3 linked regions of the Drosophila melanogaster genome follow. Changing the gene in region 2 together with the main gene of any one other region gives a genetic interaction. Each region holds a gene or a part of one and is shown on either strand. Other genes may lie near its edges.

The links.
Region 1: of Sh (region 2) and jus, changing one suppresses a phenotype caused by changing the other (phenotypic suppression), as found in Drosophila melanogaster (one study listed by BioGRID).
Region 3: of Sh (region 2) and Appl, changing one suppresses a phenotype caused by changing the other (phenotypic suppression), as found in Drosophila melanogaster (one study listed by BioGRID).

The regions. Positions count from the first base shown.
Region 1 is NT_033777.3:29,191,595-29,198,554, forward strand, and holds the start of jus (julius seizure), read right to left. Parts: upstream 3,400-6,960; 5' UTR 3,294-3,399; intron 1-3,293. Other genes in the region: CG14515 (uncharacterized protein), read left to right, coding at 6,040-6,473.
Region 2 is NC_004354.4:17,987,044-17,994,003, forward strand, and holds the start of Sh (shaker), read right to left. Parts: upstream 3,637-6,960; 5' UTR 3,291-3,636; intron 1-3,290.
Region 3 is NC_004354.4:529,553-533,152, reverse strand, and holds the start of Appl (beta amyloid protein precursor-like), read right to left. Parts: upstream 1,984-3,600; 5' UTR 1,964-1,983; intron 1,527-1,963; 5' UTR 1,355-1,526; coding exon 1,277-1,354; intron 1-1,276. UniProt on the Drosophila melanogaster protein: During development, plays a role in the regulation of the neddylation pathway. Appl and APP-BP1 interact antagonistically during development.

The sequences.
Region 1 (6,960 bases), on a different chromosome or scaffold from region 2:
GGAGGTGAACACACACACACACCCACACACACAGCGAAAGCCCCAGAGATGCGGCATTTAGTTATCCTTAAGCTACTTAAAGGACAGCCTCACCTCAGCAAAATTAATTAGTGCACTTAAGCTAACCGCGCCTATGGGAAGCGCTGTCAGCCCTCGAAAGATCTAGAAGTATTTGCCCGAAAATTAAGTATACGCCGTGGCTAGCGCTGTACTTCATTGGCATTCATGCGCTGACCCACCGCAGCAGCCATTTGCCAGGGGAAAATCAAGCAGATAGTTTCGAGCAAAAGGATTCAAATGTCGAAGCGAAACGATTTTCCAAGCAGCCAAACAATTTATCTTCGCAGCGCCGGCGCTGGCTGGCCTATAAAAATGGCAATCATTATTATAGTCATGTACCAGGCAATGGGGCGTTACGGCAATCAACGCCAGCGTCCCCGCCAGAGCTCCATAAATAAGCGCGCAATTTCAATTTTCAACAACGCCCCAAAGGAGCTCATACTCGAGCTGAGGAGGAGCTGAAGAGGCCCGAGAAGCGAAAACCGGAGACAGACGCAGGCCGCATCGAAGATTATATGGTATATGGCTTATATGGTAAATGGCAGGCCGTGGTGTGTATTTAAATGCATTTTTTAATAGCCATAAAGCGGGCAGCTTGTCGGCCTAAACGGGAGGAGCACCAAATGCCAGCGGGCGCACTTAAAGGCCTCCTCCATGCGGATTTCGATTGAGAGTCCGCCTTGGATACGGATACTTGGCCGGGACAAGGACGAATGCGCAACTAAAACAAGAGAAGCCTCCTCGTACGGGGAACGTCGTATATAAATTATAAACGCAAACTGTGCGACAAGGATTTCTGGTTGGGTTTTCGGTTTGCTATACGGCATGTCTGCTCTTTCTACTTCTTTTTTTTTCAGTTTTATTTCTGCCGGTCGACATGCGATTTCGATGGCAAATGATTTTGCATTTGCCTGAGCGGTGGCGTGGGGCTGTGGGGTGGATATGGCGTATAGGGCGGCAAATCGAAGCATAAACGGGCATGCCACATGGTGCAAGTCGAAGGTCAAGGGTCATGCCGGCAGTCGGATCTCCTCGAAATTTACTGCAACACTTGCCGCCGGCGCAAAGGCATCACATTGTGGCATATATACTTTAGTTGTATTTATAGGCTGGATGGAAATTGATGACGTCTCCATCGGCAACGCCCCCCTGCCAGCCACATATATCCTCGAGATCCTTCGGCTGCGCGATGTCATGCCGCATGCAGATTGTCGTGCAGCTAGTAGCGAAGTAACTGCCACTGCAATTGGAGTTAGTTCACTGAAAGAAAGGTGATCCTAAAGCGAATGATATAGAAACAGAATATCGGAAAATGTAACCAAGTAAAGGTTTTTAAATAGATAGAAGATAACTATCCACTACTTTCTTCTGAGCTTTGCAAATGTATCTCAATCTAATCAAGGGTTTTAACTTCTTCCAAGTCTGAAAGATTCTTTAAATGCAGCTGACTTGTTCGTGATCACAGTTACACCCTTTTTCTTCAAGTGTTTGCAACGGCAACTGCCGCAAAGTCTGTGTTAGCCGGAATCGATCCGAAGGAGGAGCAGCGCAACTCGAGTCCTTATAACTTCACCTATACTGTGCATGTGCACATTCGCCAAACTCTGTGTGTATATGTGTGGCAAGGCGAGTGTGATGGTGTGAGTGGAGGCCAGACCATGTGCCTATGCCGTATCCTTACGCCTATGGATATGCCACGCGATGTGATTGTGAATGCGAAAATGTGGCGACGTCGAGGGAAAGTTGTGCTCCCAGCGAAGTTCGCTTTGGTTTGGTTGGGTTCGGTTCGCAGTGGTTTGGCTTGGCTTTGTCGGGGGGGGCTGCTGGCCCCAAAGCTTCTGGGCCAGGATGACGTAGTCCTCCGGCTGAAGTGTGTTAGTATGTCTGCCCTTCCGACTTGGGGTTGCACACACACACCAGCTCACAGCGTATCCATACAGGCGCAACGAGGGTGCGAAGGGGCATTAAATGGTTCGTGTTTTCCCTGCCCTTTTTCATATTTTCATTTGTGCCTCATCTCGCCCGTTTGTCGCCCATATTGGGGTCGCCTGACGGTTCGTACTTTAAAAGCGCCATTTAGTTCGCGCGCAGCCTAAATTATTAAAAGCAAATCCAACACACCGCACACAGGCAGTTCATTAAATTCAATGTATGCAAAATAGCGGCAACAAATGCGGCAAAAGGCAATCTTCCGCCACCCACCCACTCGGCCATCCAGCTGTTGTCATTTTCGAGCCACGAGCCTCAAAAAAGAAACAAGTTTGCGAGGCAAGCTCATCATAATCATGTGCCTTCCAAATGCAGGCGGAGAAAAGTGGGACACTTTTGCAAGAAAAGATGAGAAAATGTTTGAATTTCATCAGTGCTATGATGATATTTCACACAAATCATACTTATATACATACGCAGCAAGTCACATTTCACGAATGACAAATTCCATTGCCTACTTTTAGGCACTACCACAACTTTAGGCACCACATTGCTTTTAAATAGCCATAACTTTAAGATCTTTTATAGATTTCTGATTAGTTCAACTCTTTTCTGGTTATGAATTGTGTTTATCACAGTTTCCCCCCACAATTTGAAACTACTGCAGCGAGTTTTCGCTGCGTGTAGCAACTTTGCTGCGCAAATATGTTTCGCCAACTTCAATTTGTGTCCCAGGTAGTAAGTTTACCGCTGTGTGCGTATGTTTGAGGGGCATGCCGTGTTACTGTTGCCATCGCTGTGTGTGTGTGCGAGCTTGGCTTTTTTATGCGTCACGTGAGAATTTCCTTTATTATTATTTGACTTGGCTACCTCGGTACATATCACGTATACGCAACGTATAATTCCGCAGAAAGGGCATTGATTTTTTTGATTTGCTTTCAGTTCGGTTCGCCATTCCCCCCTTTTCGTTTATTACTTTGATTGCTTTTCACTGTTTTCTTCGTTTTATTTTTTTGTTTTTCTTTTTTTTTTGGTTTGAGGGCATGGATACGCTGCAGTTTGTGATTTTCTTTGCCCTGCTCAAGAAGAAAAATATTTGCTTGCCATTTATGTATATTCTGTTTTCATCTCGTTTTTTTTGTTGTTGTTTGTGTTTGGCACTTTTGGGCATTCGTTTTTTATTCTTGTTGCACGCTGTTCGGTTCATCACCACATTCACACACTTACACACTCATTCACTGACTCACACACACACACACACTCACGCGCGTAAGAAATATACTACTAAAATACAAATTGCTCACAATTTCCTTTGCTCTAGATAGTTGTTGTTGCTGCTGCTGCTGCTGCCTCGCACTGTTTGCTTTCCCACTGGATTTTCTCGGAAAACTCGACGACCACGCGCTTCGACGTCTGACCACGTTCTGAGCCGAATTTCCCACAGCCTTGGTGGAAAATGCGAATGTGGCGTTGGTGAAAAGTCTGCGAGGAAAAGTCACCATCAGGCGGCAGCCGCTTTTCCTCTCACAGGACCTGCGCATTTCCCGCCTGCAGGTGACACACTTTTCCGCGCCAACCGTCGCCGATGAAGTGGATTTTTCGACCCCTCCTCGGGCCACCGCTCCATCCCCCCCTCTGAGCCCACAAGCTCCACTATTTACATGGCACATCGGTTTAAGGCGGCTGGCAGTTTTCCTTCGTTTGCCCACTTTTTTCGTACTTTAGGTTGAAGTAAATTTCGCATGCATTGGCCGGAGGATGGATGCACTGAAAGAAACACATTACCAGCTTGCATATTATATATATATTATATATAGATATTAATTGATAAAATATTTAGCTTACTTATATTTTTAAACTCTATGATAATGGCATGACTTGATGCGTTAAAGTTTTGTAAATAGTGTATTTTATATATAAAAAAAATCAAAAATATCAAACAAATATGAATAGATTAATTCATAATAAAATGAAATTCTATAATATTTTTAGTATATTTTTCTCTGTGTAGCGTAACAAGACCTGGTGTGATGTGGCGCAAATGTCATTTTCAATGGCCGAAAATTTCGGTATGCTGCTGCCCAGTGCAGGGAGTTGAAAATTCGCATTCGCCGCATCCATAATGGATGATATGTCCTTTCGGCCCGCTGATCCTTCGGTTAAAGCAAAGCCACCGGGTTAACTGACCTTTGCAGTGCGGCCAACTTGAAATGCAAATAAGCGCCAATGTCCAATTGTAAAGTTCAGCAATCTAGAGTATTATTTATCACGTTTCAGCACAAACACATTGCCAAAAGCAAACAATTTAGTTTTGTGCGCAAAAGTTGCTGACGCTGGCACGTGCAATTTGAATAATTAACCGAACATTTTAATTAATGAAACAAGTTTGGTATTGACTTGGCCCAAAGTGTGAGTGCGTGTAGATACACACACTAGCACTTAAAAGTGTGTTTTGGCCCGAAGTGTTGTTGGTCATTTGCGCATTTATTAAATTAGAATTTGTGTGCCATTCGGTATGCTGTTTGCAGTGCTTGTGAATAACAAAAAAAAAAAAAAAAGATAATTAAAGTGAGCAGAAATAATTGGGCACTTTATTTATATTTTTTATTTAGTTACCATTCTAGCTATAAAATATGCTGCGAAAATAGGAATTATAAAACACATAGCTGTGTTGTGTGCCATTTGTTATAGTTTAATTGATAATTATTTCGCATAATTATTTCTCTTAATGAGTATAAACACTATTTTAAAACATTCCGAACAATTTATAAATGAAAATTTAAGCAAATGCTTAAAGTTAAAGAACTGACTTAATTATTCCATTTGTATTCCAACTGACAGCAGCTGTTGCAATTATCCCCCTTGCCAAAAACTAAAGTGAAAATGAGGTGGTGGAAAACCATATTCCACGAAGGAATGGCGTTGGCGGATCCCAGAAAGGAAACCGCCGACTGAAGCTGTGAAATGCGAAACGCAGCGGTATCAAAGGGGGAAAAGCGAACTGCCAGAAAAAAATCACAACTGAGAAATCAGAAAAAGGAAAAACCCAACCGGAGCCAACTCAATTCAGCGAAATCAACGCCAACGGCGGCTGCCTGTCAATTAAAACATTAAAACGCGCTGAAAAATGCAGCGAACAGGCGCAAAGTAAACAAACTGCGGAACATGTTGCAGTGCGGACAGCATTTTCCAACATTTTCCAACATTTTCAGCGATTAGAAGCATAGAATTTCGCAATGGAGCACTTAGAGCAGCACCAGAGTTTCGGGCCCAGACCACCAAACCGAGCAAAGAAATCCGATTCGTCGACCAGGGGAGGGACTAATGTGTGACCCAGTTTGGATCACTGTGCAGGAAAGGAACTCTGTGTGTTTTGGCCATTTGCTTTTTGATCATTAAAAACTGGTTGGCCGCCGCCAGCTGAGCGCCCCACTACATTTGCGGTCAGCTTAATAGCACCGCTGCGGCCATAAATTAGTCAAAGAAAATCTATTGGGATGGCAGCTGGCATCTGTCAATGATTTATTCTTGACACATCATTCCGTGTTAGTTCTTTTAAGAATTAAAAACCAAATAAAATAATAGTAATGATTTACGGTTGGGTCTTAGTGCAATTGTTTAGTAAATAAAGTTATCAAAGGCTATTAATTACTATTTATCATAACAGTTGATCAACAGCAAAGAGTTCTGGAAGAAAAGCGTGGAATATTCGTTTATATTTTTGCATATTTTTGAATATTTTTTTAAACAGTACAAATAACTTTTTAGAAAAAGTTTTATCGTAGTCAAGAAAAAGATGATTTAGCGCACTGACTTCTCCAATAGCTGGCTTTCTTGGATAGCTAAACGCTCCTATTCAAACACCCCCGACTGTGGCTATCTGTCCACTTGAACCGCCCGCCCATGTCTTCGGCGGCAGCGTCGCTTGTGGCATTGCCGCTTGGGTTTATAAGCGGCCGGCGATGGCGGCGGCGAGCCGAGTTTCAGCGTCAGATTAGCCGAGAGCGCGCGCGTTTTTTCCCACGATCAGGAAAATCGAATTCCAGAGCCATGAAGGATCGATTCAAGTGGTTGTCGCTGGAGCTGCTCCTGCTGATAGGCGCCGCAGTCGCCTTTCCGGACGGCGCTCCGGCGGACACGTGCGTGAAGCAGCGGGCGAATCAGCCGAATCATGGCAAGGCCCGGAGTCAGCCGGCTCACTCGAATCCGTACGAGGTGGTGGCCGATGCGCAGACCTACCATCCCGGCCAGCAGATATCGGTGGTCATCTACCCGCACTCGGACCAGAGCACCGTCTTCCGGGGATTCTTCCTGCAGGCGCGTGATGCCAACTCGAACGAGTGGATCGGCGAGTGGGTGCAGAGCGAGAACACCAAGACCATTCCAGAGTGCTCGGCCATTACGCACTCGGACAACCGGGACAAGCTGGGCGCCAAGCTCATCTGGAAGGCACCGCAAAATAAGCGGGGACAAGTCTACTTCACGTAAGTTGGAAGTTATAGGAGGAGTGGGTTAATTATATAGCTCAAGCCAATGGAATTATTAGAAAGATCTAGAATCTATAATCGAACTAACTTTCAGTGTTAAGTAGTGCTCTTACAGTCACAGCAAACAACTTAAATGCATGCAGAAGTTTCACTACCAACTTAATAAAATAAATGACCGCTTAGCACCCATTTTTTCGGACAGTTTCAATGAAGCACTTTGTCAAAACTGGCTTCGTACAACGCAGTTCGTGTCTTCTATGGCCCATCACCCTCATAATAATCATCATTATCATCGGAGGCGACGGTGGAAGTAGCATAAGCCGTGGCAACATCATTGTGCCTCGTGAAGGGATTCATTAATCATACGCCACGTTGACCCACATAATGTAATGCGCGCATAATTGTCAGGCGGACAAAAACTTGCCGGATAATCGCACAAAAGGCATTATGTAATTGATTTATTTGGAAAGAGCACACCCCTCAT
Region 2 (6,960 bases):
TGTTTCAAATTAAAATCACGCAGCGCACGTGCAATCTACACGCACACACAGCCGTGTATCCATACATACACACACATATTTCCACCTCTCGACAGCATATTAAAAGCCCAAAAACCATCGCCGCAGTGCGTAACTTTCTCCGTTCTCTGTGCTCCTTTCTCCTTTCTCCGTTCTCCGTTCTACTTCCTACATTCCCCATTTGCCATTTGCCATTCGAAATTCACATTTCACATTTCTCGGAGCCGAGCTGCACAGCCTCTGGCCGGAGTACCAAAATCCACTGGCAAGAGATTCCGGATCCAGGCGAATAATTTACAATATCCATAGATAGATGGCACACTGAGAACTAATTCAGGTTAACACAAATCACCCAAAGCCCTGGCAATTTTAAGTTCGGGATTGCCAAAGGTCAACTATCTAAAGGCTCATTTAATTGGAACATTTCGTTACATTTTAGTAAAATAAAATCAACGTGCATACTAAAGCAAGTATTTGCCATTTTTTTTTCTATAAGCCCCTAAAGTAGTTTTAAAAACTTTGTAAAGGAAATCAGAAAGTCTCACTGCAACATTAAATGTTTTATAGTTGCGGAAGACATATACTACATACATATATATATATATATGAGGCATAAAGTCACCAAGTATATAGCATATATAAAATACGACTCTGTGCATATTTTTGGTGGCCAAATTTTCTTGTAGTGTGTGTGTTCATGCCCGACCGCAAACATATGCGCATAAATATATACATATGTAAGTTAGCAATTGGGCCAAAACTAAATGGCCAAGCGTGGCAGGAAAGACAAAATGGAGCAAAACAGTTGGCAGATATATCGAGTTGTGGCAAGAATAAAAATTCGCCACCATTCAATCAGGGAAGCTGCTGATGTTTTTGCGAAGACAGACGACCACTTTAAAGGCACTCGATATATGCGCCATATACTGGGCAAATTCAACTCGAAAGACAAAGCCGAGTTGCCTCAGTGGCATTAGGAGAGCTTAGCGAGCACCAGAGGCGTGTGCAGAGGGGATTTATTAGCGCTGTTGTTGCCATAACCACTTAGCCTGCACACACACACGCACACAGACACACTGGCACACTGGCGAGCAGCTTTGGCACAAAGGGGTTAAGAGTGCGGAGAAGAACGAACCACACTCGACGCATTTACGATTGAGCTGGAGCTAAGCCTAAGCCTTGCCGCCTAAAAACCAGGCAATGTGCGTGCGAATGGCCTCCGATCCCCTCAATCTAGTAGTAACCCCCCCATAAAACCAGACCCCCCCCCCCAACCCATCAACAAGACCAAGCCTGCGGCTGTGCTCGTATTCGTATTCAACCACAAACTGGCTTTGTTTTATGATGTTTCACTTGCCAGTTGTTGCTCGAAAGCTCAGGAGTTCTTCCTGTTGCCTCAGCTGCTTGCATGCAAAGTTCAATCAAAATAAATCAGTTGCCTAGAACATTACAAAGGGGTTTCCCACCCATTCTCCTTCCCCTTGCCACTTTCCACTGAGTGGATAAGGGTTAACAGAAGGCTGAGCTGTCGAGCCGTCACGGCACATCTAGCCCCTGCAACCATTCGCCCCCCTTTCGATCGACTTGTTCAACTTTTCAAGTGCCCAATTAATTTTGGCGTGTGCGAGTCAAACTTGAATTTAATCGCAAATACAATGAGAACATGAGGCGTAAAAAAAGCGGGGAACATAGAGAGGAAAACAATAGGAGGAGCGAAAACAAAAGAAGCTTAAACAAAAATACAAAGACGAGGCTGAATAATAACCTCACATGCCCAAGTGCTCAAGTTGTAATACGGGGAAAAACCTCAGCTGCTCTTAGACAAATTAATGAACAGAGCGAGAATCCAAATCCAAACTAATTTGTATGGGAAAACTGGGTGGTTGGTGGAAAGCGAAGGGCGGAAGGCCCAAAGTTTTCCTAGATATCCAAGTGACTTGCCAAACAATACGGATGGCAAAGTTATGGTAAACCTCTCATCTCTGCTGAAAGATGAAACCACAAAATGAATGCATTTCAAAATCCCCAACATAATTACTCCAATGTTTGCGTTCATCTGTTTAGTTTTCACTGCATACTGAGGTGCTCGAATTGCTGGAAAAGCCTGCTTTCACCCACAATTGTGTTGCAAGCCCGTGTATTTATTATTTATATATGCTCTCTATGACAATGGAAAGAAAACGGTCGAAGCAACGAAACATAAGCCATTAATCCAATCAATGCAGTTCCTGTTTCTGGGTTTTTGTTTTTGACATACAAAATTTATACGTTGCCTTCATTTGTGGTCAAATATTAAGGCCACTGCCCAGTTTAATTTCGAGGCATTCAATTGATCTCTGAATTCGATCCTTGAGGCTGTCTTATTGTAAATTAAACATGCCTGCCCTTCTTGCTACTGACCACCATTCTATTTTTGTTTAACTTTGGCTGTGATTTTAAGTTTGATTTACAATTGTAAATTGGGTCAACTTGTTTTTCTTTCAGCTTCGGCTGCTCATTCCACTCCTCATTCCGCTTTTGTGGCTCGTTCAGTTTTTGACGGCGCCAATGCGTCGTATGAGCAATTTGCCAGTTTCTCTTTAGGCTACTGCTACAGCTTTTGCTCCTTCTGGCTCTTTTGGGCCACTCGAATTGCACTGAAATGGAAATGGCAATGGGAGTGGGAATGGGAATGGGAATGGAAATGGCACAAGGCAATAGGAATTGAAGTTGCTTATATAAGCAAAACTTCACTGGTGCCTCTTACCCCTACTTCAACCTACTTCACCCGACCAATCCCTACCATTTTCCACTTTCTCCCCCTTAACTAGAGTGAAATATTAATTAACTCGACCTGCAGTGGGCTAAGTTGGCGTGGACAATCCCCTACCACCACCACTACCATCAGAATCATCATTCCACCGGAGGCTGCAGCAGTGTAGATTCGAGTGGCGCCCCCTAGGCAAATTATGTTGGCAGTGTCCAGGTCCATTTGCCGCTTGCCAGTGCATTAATTAAGGTAAACAAACACAGAAACAGTCGGAGATAGGGCGATACAGTTGGAGGGACTCCAGGATTCCCCTGGAGCCTCTGATCATGTCCTGGTGTATTTTTCTCTTCTCATCCCTTTTCTGTGGCGCGTGGAAGGGTGCTTAAATGGCTTCTTAAGCTGTTTTAAACGCCTTTTTTAAATGGAGTTTCTCCTTGTGTTTCGAATTTTGCGGCACGCACCAAGCTCGGAATAACAATAACAACAAGAGTTACCATTTAAAAAAAGAGAACCATACACTCACATTCACCGAAAAAAAAAAAACAACAACAAGAATCACGCGCGGCTACGCGGCACGCACCACCTGCTTTTTTTTATTATTTAAAGTGCGAGTGGGGGGTTTTGAGCGAGGTAAAAAAATATTGAAGTCTGGATAGAAACTCCAATTGTCAGATTGACACACTGACTGATTGACTGACTGAATGAATGACTAGCTAACTGACTAGCTGGCTGACTAACTGACTGACCGACTGACTGACGGACTGACTGACTGACTGACTGATTGATTGACTGACTGACGACAGTCGCCGCCAAGCGCGGAACGCGTTGCACGATTACGTTGTGACGACGTGACTGCGACTGCGACGACTGAACCGAACTGAGGCGCTGCAAAAGTGTCCGGCGATAGAAGAACCGCCGAACTACGAGCCGAGCCAAATGCGGTGGCACGAACGCCCCACGTTGGGCGCCACGAACTCGCCACGAACATTTTGGGCCGAGGCGAGCACGTGCGATTTGCTTTGCTGCATTGGCTCCGGCTTTGTCAGCGGACTGGATCGTATAGCTATATATCTAAAGCTATACGGAGTTTTCCACTGCTGCACTCCGACTCCGATGGCGCCTCTTGCGTGTTGCGTGCTGTGTTCTGTGTGTGCCGAGTGTGTGCTATGTGTGATGTGCGATGTTCTGTACTGTGCTGTGTGGCAGGTACCGCTCCTGTTCCCGCTGGCCAAAGGCATACGAAAACTGGGCAAAAGGCAAATAGTTTTAGTGCCACTTGGCACGAACACGGCGACCAGAGGAGGCCCAAAAAACACAAAACCAAAAAAAAAAAAAGAAACGAAATGAATAAAATGAAAACCAACAACAAAGCAGAGCCGCAACAACAAAGCCAAAGAGTAGCCTGGGTGAACATGGCTGAGCAAGAAGAGCGGGAACCATGGGCACAGGGACATTGGCGACACTGGCGACTCTGGCGACACTCGGGCACCGTCCGCTGGAGATGGAGCTCTAGCTCCTGGCTGGACTGGAAATGGGGGCCCGTCGGCGGGGATGAGTGGCGGTGTCAAACAAAGCAAATGCCGCTAGGGGCCGCTGAGGCGGCGGCCGAAGGCAAAACAACCGAAACACGAAAACTAGGTGAAAACTGTAAATGAACCAAACACAAACATACACTAACACTCACATGCACACGGGAGCAAGAGAAAATCGAATCGAAGGAGAAACGACAAAAGCCACAACCCCATGCCCTCCAACTCGCCACCGCATCACCACCACCCTTTGGTGGCAAAGGTGTGCTCCTCTATTATTAATGTGTGCTTTAAAACGCCGCCGGGCTCGTTATGCTCCCCCCTTCCGAAGCCTATTCCTTCGCTTCCCTTTTGTTGGCTCCACTTGATTATAATAATGCGAATAACTGCACACTCACACACATACGGACGCACACACATGGCCATGTAAAGGCTCCCAAGTAATACACAGACACACGCATATAAGTGTCACGTGTGCACTTGAACGCCATGCTTCCAGCGAGGGACGGCGTGGCGTATGAGTAATGCAATTATTAATAAATAAACACATGGCACATTCACGCACACAAACGCGCGCCCAAACAAAGCATGGGAAAGTTCGGAAAGGAAAACATAAGGGAAAGCGAGAGAAAAGGGCCACGGAAAGCTGGATAAAGCGCAGCTTAAAGCTCTGGCTTCTGCTTCAACAAAGTTGACGTAGCTATTTGTTTTCCCAGCTTAAAAGCTATCAGAAAGTTTTCTTCAAATCAGAAATTGTGTTTTAGTCAAGCTTTTAAGCTCTTCAATTTTCAAAAAATCAGAAAAGCTTTAAGCTTTGGTGTCCTTGCTAATGCAGGTTTTGCGTTGAAAAATTATTGGACGAAAATTTATCGGAACGCAAACCTTTTATAGCCACACAAAAGCATTTGGAGAATAAGTTGGTTAGGTTGTAAAATACAACCGTTTGTGAAATTTTAACTATAATTTAATAGTTTTTACCAAATAGCATTTTACAATTTATTGAAGGGAGAAAAGCTAATATTATTGAAATATTTTTTTTTAATGAGACGAAGTTATCCAGAAAATGTTATAATCTTTCTAATAAACTAAAATAAGAACGTCTTTTGGGTTTAAAAATAAAAGCTCATTTAGTTCTAACAGTTGCACTTACTAGTTTCTTAAACTCTATAGGTTTTGAATGATTGGGATTTATTGTCAACATTTTGGATACTTTAGCCTCTTTGAGCAATCTTCTAAGAGTCGCTGCAGTACTTATAATTCTTCAGTTCAGAAAATTAGATTTTTAATGTTAAATGACATTTCACCTCATGTTTTCATTTGCTATTTAATGACTTAATGCTTGCAGAGAAATATATACACTTGTTTTAATGTTTTACCAATAATAGTTTAAGATTTTAGATTATCTTCCATAAAATCCTTATAGAATTAAGCCCACACAATCTTCCAATTTAGATAATTGTATTTTGTGACTTACCTGGAAGTTGATGGTATTAGTTCATATCGAGTTCGGTCATCGTGGGTATCGTGGAGTATTGCAAATAGGAAACAAAGAAAAACAGCGATTAGACAGATTGTTAAATGTATATGTATCAGCATATGATCACAATACACAGTACAAGTTACGAGTTATCATTATCTATAGATTCTAGATACATGTGCCAAGCAAAGGCATTTGGCGGCAACGAGTGCGAATGGCAAATAAGGCGAAACAATAAGCATTTAGAGTACTATTAATGCATGATTATACAGAATGATTTGGCATATAGAACTGACCGATCAAGTCAAGGCTTACGGCTAAAGATAGATACAAAGAATATGATTTTGGCAACTTTTATTCCGGCTAGGTAAACACATGGGTTACATACACAATTCAGATTTTGCAGTTAAGTTAGTACGAGTAGTTCCGAGTAGTACACACACACAGAGGCACATATATCACATCGAGGGTTGCGTATTCTGGATTGGCTTTGGATTTGGATTTGGATTTGAATTTGCATTTGGATTTGGATAGGATAGTCGGAAGGTGGTGGTGGGGGGTGGATTGTGGGCTGTTGGGACTTGTCTTTTCACTTACCCGCCAGCAACAAGTATCATCTGCATGGTCTCAGTTTCAGTTTCTGTAACAGTTTCGGTTTGGCTTTCTGTTTCGGTTTTCTAGTTCTGGTCTGCTTCGTTGAGCTCACTGAATCCTTGCCAATTAATTGGATCTGTATGTGTTCGTGTGTGTGCGTGTACGTGCGTGTGTGCGTGTCTAGTATGTGACTGTATGTGTTCTATGTGTTTGCTAGGTGCTCAATGGGTGAGCTAAATGCAGCTGCTGGTTAATTGGGCCCCGGCCGCCTGCAGCTGCATGACGGCCACCGAGTGGGCCGCTCCTGGCCTCTCGGGCGCCGATAATCCCGCGTTGCGTATCGCGCGTCGCTGTTAGCTTTGCCTCACTGTACTCGCTGCTGCTGCTGCACGAACGTAAGGTGGCACACGACCTGGAAGCGTTGTCTGTGGCTCGTCTGCTCGTTTGTTTGCCATTTGCAGATCATTTGCATTTGGTGTTAACTTATTTAATCACTTTTTAATTATTTTGGTTTGCCATTCTATTTGATCGGTTTTTGGGGGCCTCGTCGATGATCTGGGCACATCGCAGATCTGACTATGCACAAACAATTA
Region 3 (3,600 bases), about 17 Mb from region 2:
TTTAAAAACACTTTAGCTAAAGCTAACAATATCCTAGTAACGCATGTCTTCCCTTTTGGTTTGTCGGTAGGTGTGTGCGTGCACGTATGCCAGTCGATGAATTGACCTGAACAAGAGGATTCGTGGTGAATGCAGGTCCAGCCCCAGACCAATTTGGGGATTATGCTCAGACAGAGCCGGATAGTTTTTAGCCGGACTTAAACCCCAACCGAAGGACGCATAACCCGGCCCCGCACTCCATTTCTACGATATTTGCCAGTCGCTGCGTGTAGAAAATCAAAATCAAAATGTCTGCACGCCCTGTTTGGTTTCGGTAACACCTCCGCTACTTTTATATGCAAATTGCTAGTCGAAGCCAGCTGCTGCTATCCTCTAGCCTCAAGTTTTCGGTTTTCGGCTTTCAGTTGGCCAGTAGCCAGCGACAAGCAAACGGTTCAATTAAGCCAATACTTGCGCACACTCGCAAGTAATTTGGCAGCCCTATCACCCATCCCCATCCCATCCCCATCCCATACCCATCCCCAATCTCCAATCCCCAATCCCCAATCCCCAATCCCCAACCCTTTCCCGCCTTCAAGCCCTCGAGCCTTTAGTGCCGCTGCTAAGCGATGGCACATTTTTCGTAGCATACTTTGCGCGGCTGCTTAGCCGACGGCCACCACATCCCACAGAAACCCGCTCAAGTGCTTGTGTGCTTGTGTATCTGGCTCTCTGTGTGTGTGCGAGAGTGTGGGTGCCTGTGTGTGTGGGTTGCGGTTGCGATTGGTATTGCTGTTGCACGCAGAAAGTATAGAGCCACACTGCTATTTTGTGAGCCGTACTCAAGTTATACATAAGTTGGGTGTTGTGTCAGTAAGCCAGATGAGGCAGTAGCGCAACAACACAAGTCCCTAATTGCTGGAGACCTACTTGTCTTCCCCGGACACCGAATTAATATTGTTTTGACTTCTATCAGCTTCAATGCGTGGCTAACATCGAGCGTCGAGTTGTCTGTTTAAATCAATTTGTCATCCCGATTAAAGCCCTAACGAAACAATGTTTTAGTGTGCAGTTTTGCCCAGTTTCCCAGTGTTCTCTGTCAGTTTCATTTTCGGTTTGTGTTTCTGTTCTGAGTTTCGGCTCTTTCGACTTACTCCTTCGTTCCATCGAGTATTGTATCGAAAGTGGAGTGAAATGGTCTGGTGTGCTGTGGTGTGTTGTGGTGTGCTGTAGTGTGGTGTGTTGTTATGTCGTGTGGTGTGGTGTAGTGTGGTGTGGTGGGGATTCGGTGACTCACCTGAACCTGAGCAGTGCCAATGGCCAGGACGACCCAGAGGCTCCTCAGCAACAAATTACGACGCAGCGCGGCGCACATTGTTCGCACTCTTTTCTGCTTCTTTGCTCCTCGTCTGGTTGGCTCCTGGTCCTATCTCCTGGCTGGGAATCTCCGAGTTTGGTCTGAACTTAGCTGCTTCTGCGGCTGGACTGACGTGCTTCCAGTTCTGGTTAATTGTATTTGCTTTGTTGGCTATTCGTTTAACACTTTGCTGCACAGGCGGACGACGGTAGCAGCAGCAAGAAATCGAAAACACAAAAAAATTTCATTAGCAAGCGATTCGGAATTGTGGCCTTTCGTTTCAGCCTTTAACTTTCTGGGTTCTGGGTTATGATTTCTGTTTTCTGATTTCTGCGCTCTAAGGTTCGTACTCCGATTTCGTTCGATTTGCGGTGCCCAAGTTAGCTGCCCACAGCGCAGCGCTTTTCCTTTCGCCGATGCCCAGAAACCTATGCACGGAAAATGTCAACTCGGAAAACTCTGTGCGTGTGGCTTGTATGTGAGTGGCCGTAGTATTCGATTGTGGAACGTAGTAGGAGAGAGTCCGTGATGGGCGGGGGCGGATAAGGGAATTGAAGGAAAAGGAAGAAAAGAAAAATAAGGCAAAGCTACGAGAGTACTCGCTGCTATCTGTCCTGTCATACCCACTCGCTGGTTCTCGGGGTCCTGAGATTGTACTTCCCCGAAACGGAAAATATGAGTGGCACTATGGCCGCCGTTCTGCGCCTGGAAAAGTTGTCAGCTGCAGTCGTCGGGTTCCACGTCCCATGTCACTTGTCCATGTCTCCTGTCTCCTGTCTTGGCAGTTCCCACGCAAATCCACCCACTCGCTAACCCCTTCCCGCACTCTTGGAACGTATCCGTCGGGCTTCTGCGCACTTTCCCAACCCCTTTCTCACTGATTCTGCGCAGGTGCGCTGCTTATTGTCCCCCAGCTAAGTTGGCATCACAAATCCACTATTGGCATCGGCTTCGCTTTTTCTTTCCGAACTTGTATCACTTTGTTTTGGATGTTTCTCTATGGTTTTTGTTGTTGGGTTTCTTTTTTAGCACTATTTAGCACTTGAACAGCAAAAAAAAGTATTGAGCTTGTTTTGGTTAAATTTGACGGTCTCTCAATGTGTGTCTCTGGTTTTGTGCTTGTGGCTCCTCGGCCACCACCTCTCCGCCCGAGCGGGAGAACGACAAGAGCCACTGGCCAGCAGCCCCTGGCCTTCCCAAGCTGTCGGGGAGTGGTCAGATGGGGTGGCCCGAAGAAGCCCCTAAAGCGCTGAGTTTTTGGAGCCCTGGCTGTACGCTATACCTGGCGCTGCGAACGCTCACAAACGACTGCGAGTGGTCTCGTTGCCTGCAATCCTGCGAGTCCACGTCCGAAAGTGCGAACTGCGAAAGTCGAACTCGGGCGCAGAATGCAGAGCGCGTGCCCGGGATCGATATTAAGGGCGAATCGAGCAACTGGCCTTCCGCTTTCCGCGGGGGTGACAATGTTTTTGGCTGTCCGGGCTGCACTATGGTACCAGTGCTTCCAGTGGTAGTGGTATTAGCGGAACAAGCAGGACAGAAGTGACTAGGGAGAACTGGTTCCGCGGGCGAACCAAGAGTGTCTGGCGGAGTGCTTGTTAGTTAGTTTACATGCACACCGCTAGGTGGAAACTCCCAAGGGAATTTCGCACAGGTCACCGTCTTCAAAAGGCTGTCCTATGCACGAGTTTTTATAAACCACTAAACTTAATTCAAATTTGTTTTCCTCGATGGATTCAAGAGTTTATATACTTTTTCTAATGGTGAAGCCAATCTGCACTAGATGGCGTCGATATGTAAGATGTAAGATGTAAGATGTAAGATGTAAGATATGACCAAATCCAAGTTTCCCACCACCAACCACCCAATTTCCTATCCACATCACTTATTGCTTGGCCCTTAGCCAAGTTGCAAACCACTTTCGACATTATTTAACATGTTCATTTTTTCCTTCCCAGCGACTGGCAACTCTGTGCCGCACAGCTGATCTTCTTACCGGCTACAAATTAGATTTCTTACATTTGTTTATTTACGCCGCCTCCTACTTGCTAGGCCTCAGGAAAGCATAAACCTAGGAACGGAGCCTGGTACAGACACGGAGCTATACACCTACAACAACGCACATTTCACCTAGTTGCGCAACGCACTTAGCCGGCTGGCGTGGCAGTGCACGGTAAGCTGAAACGTACGTGGCAATGAATATGAAATCGAGCTTGCAGGAACATTGAACCAACGAGCGTGTAGCACTAGACCCTAATTCCAAT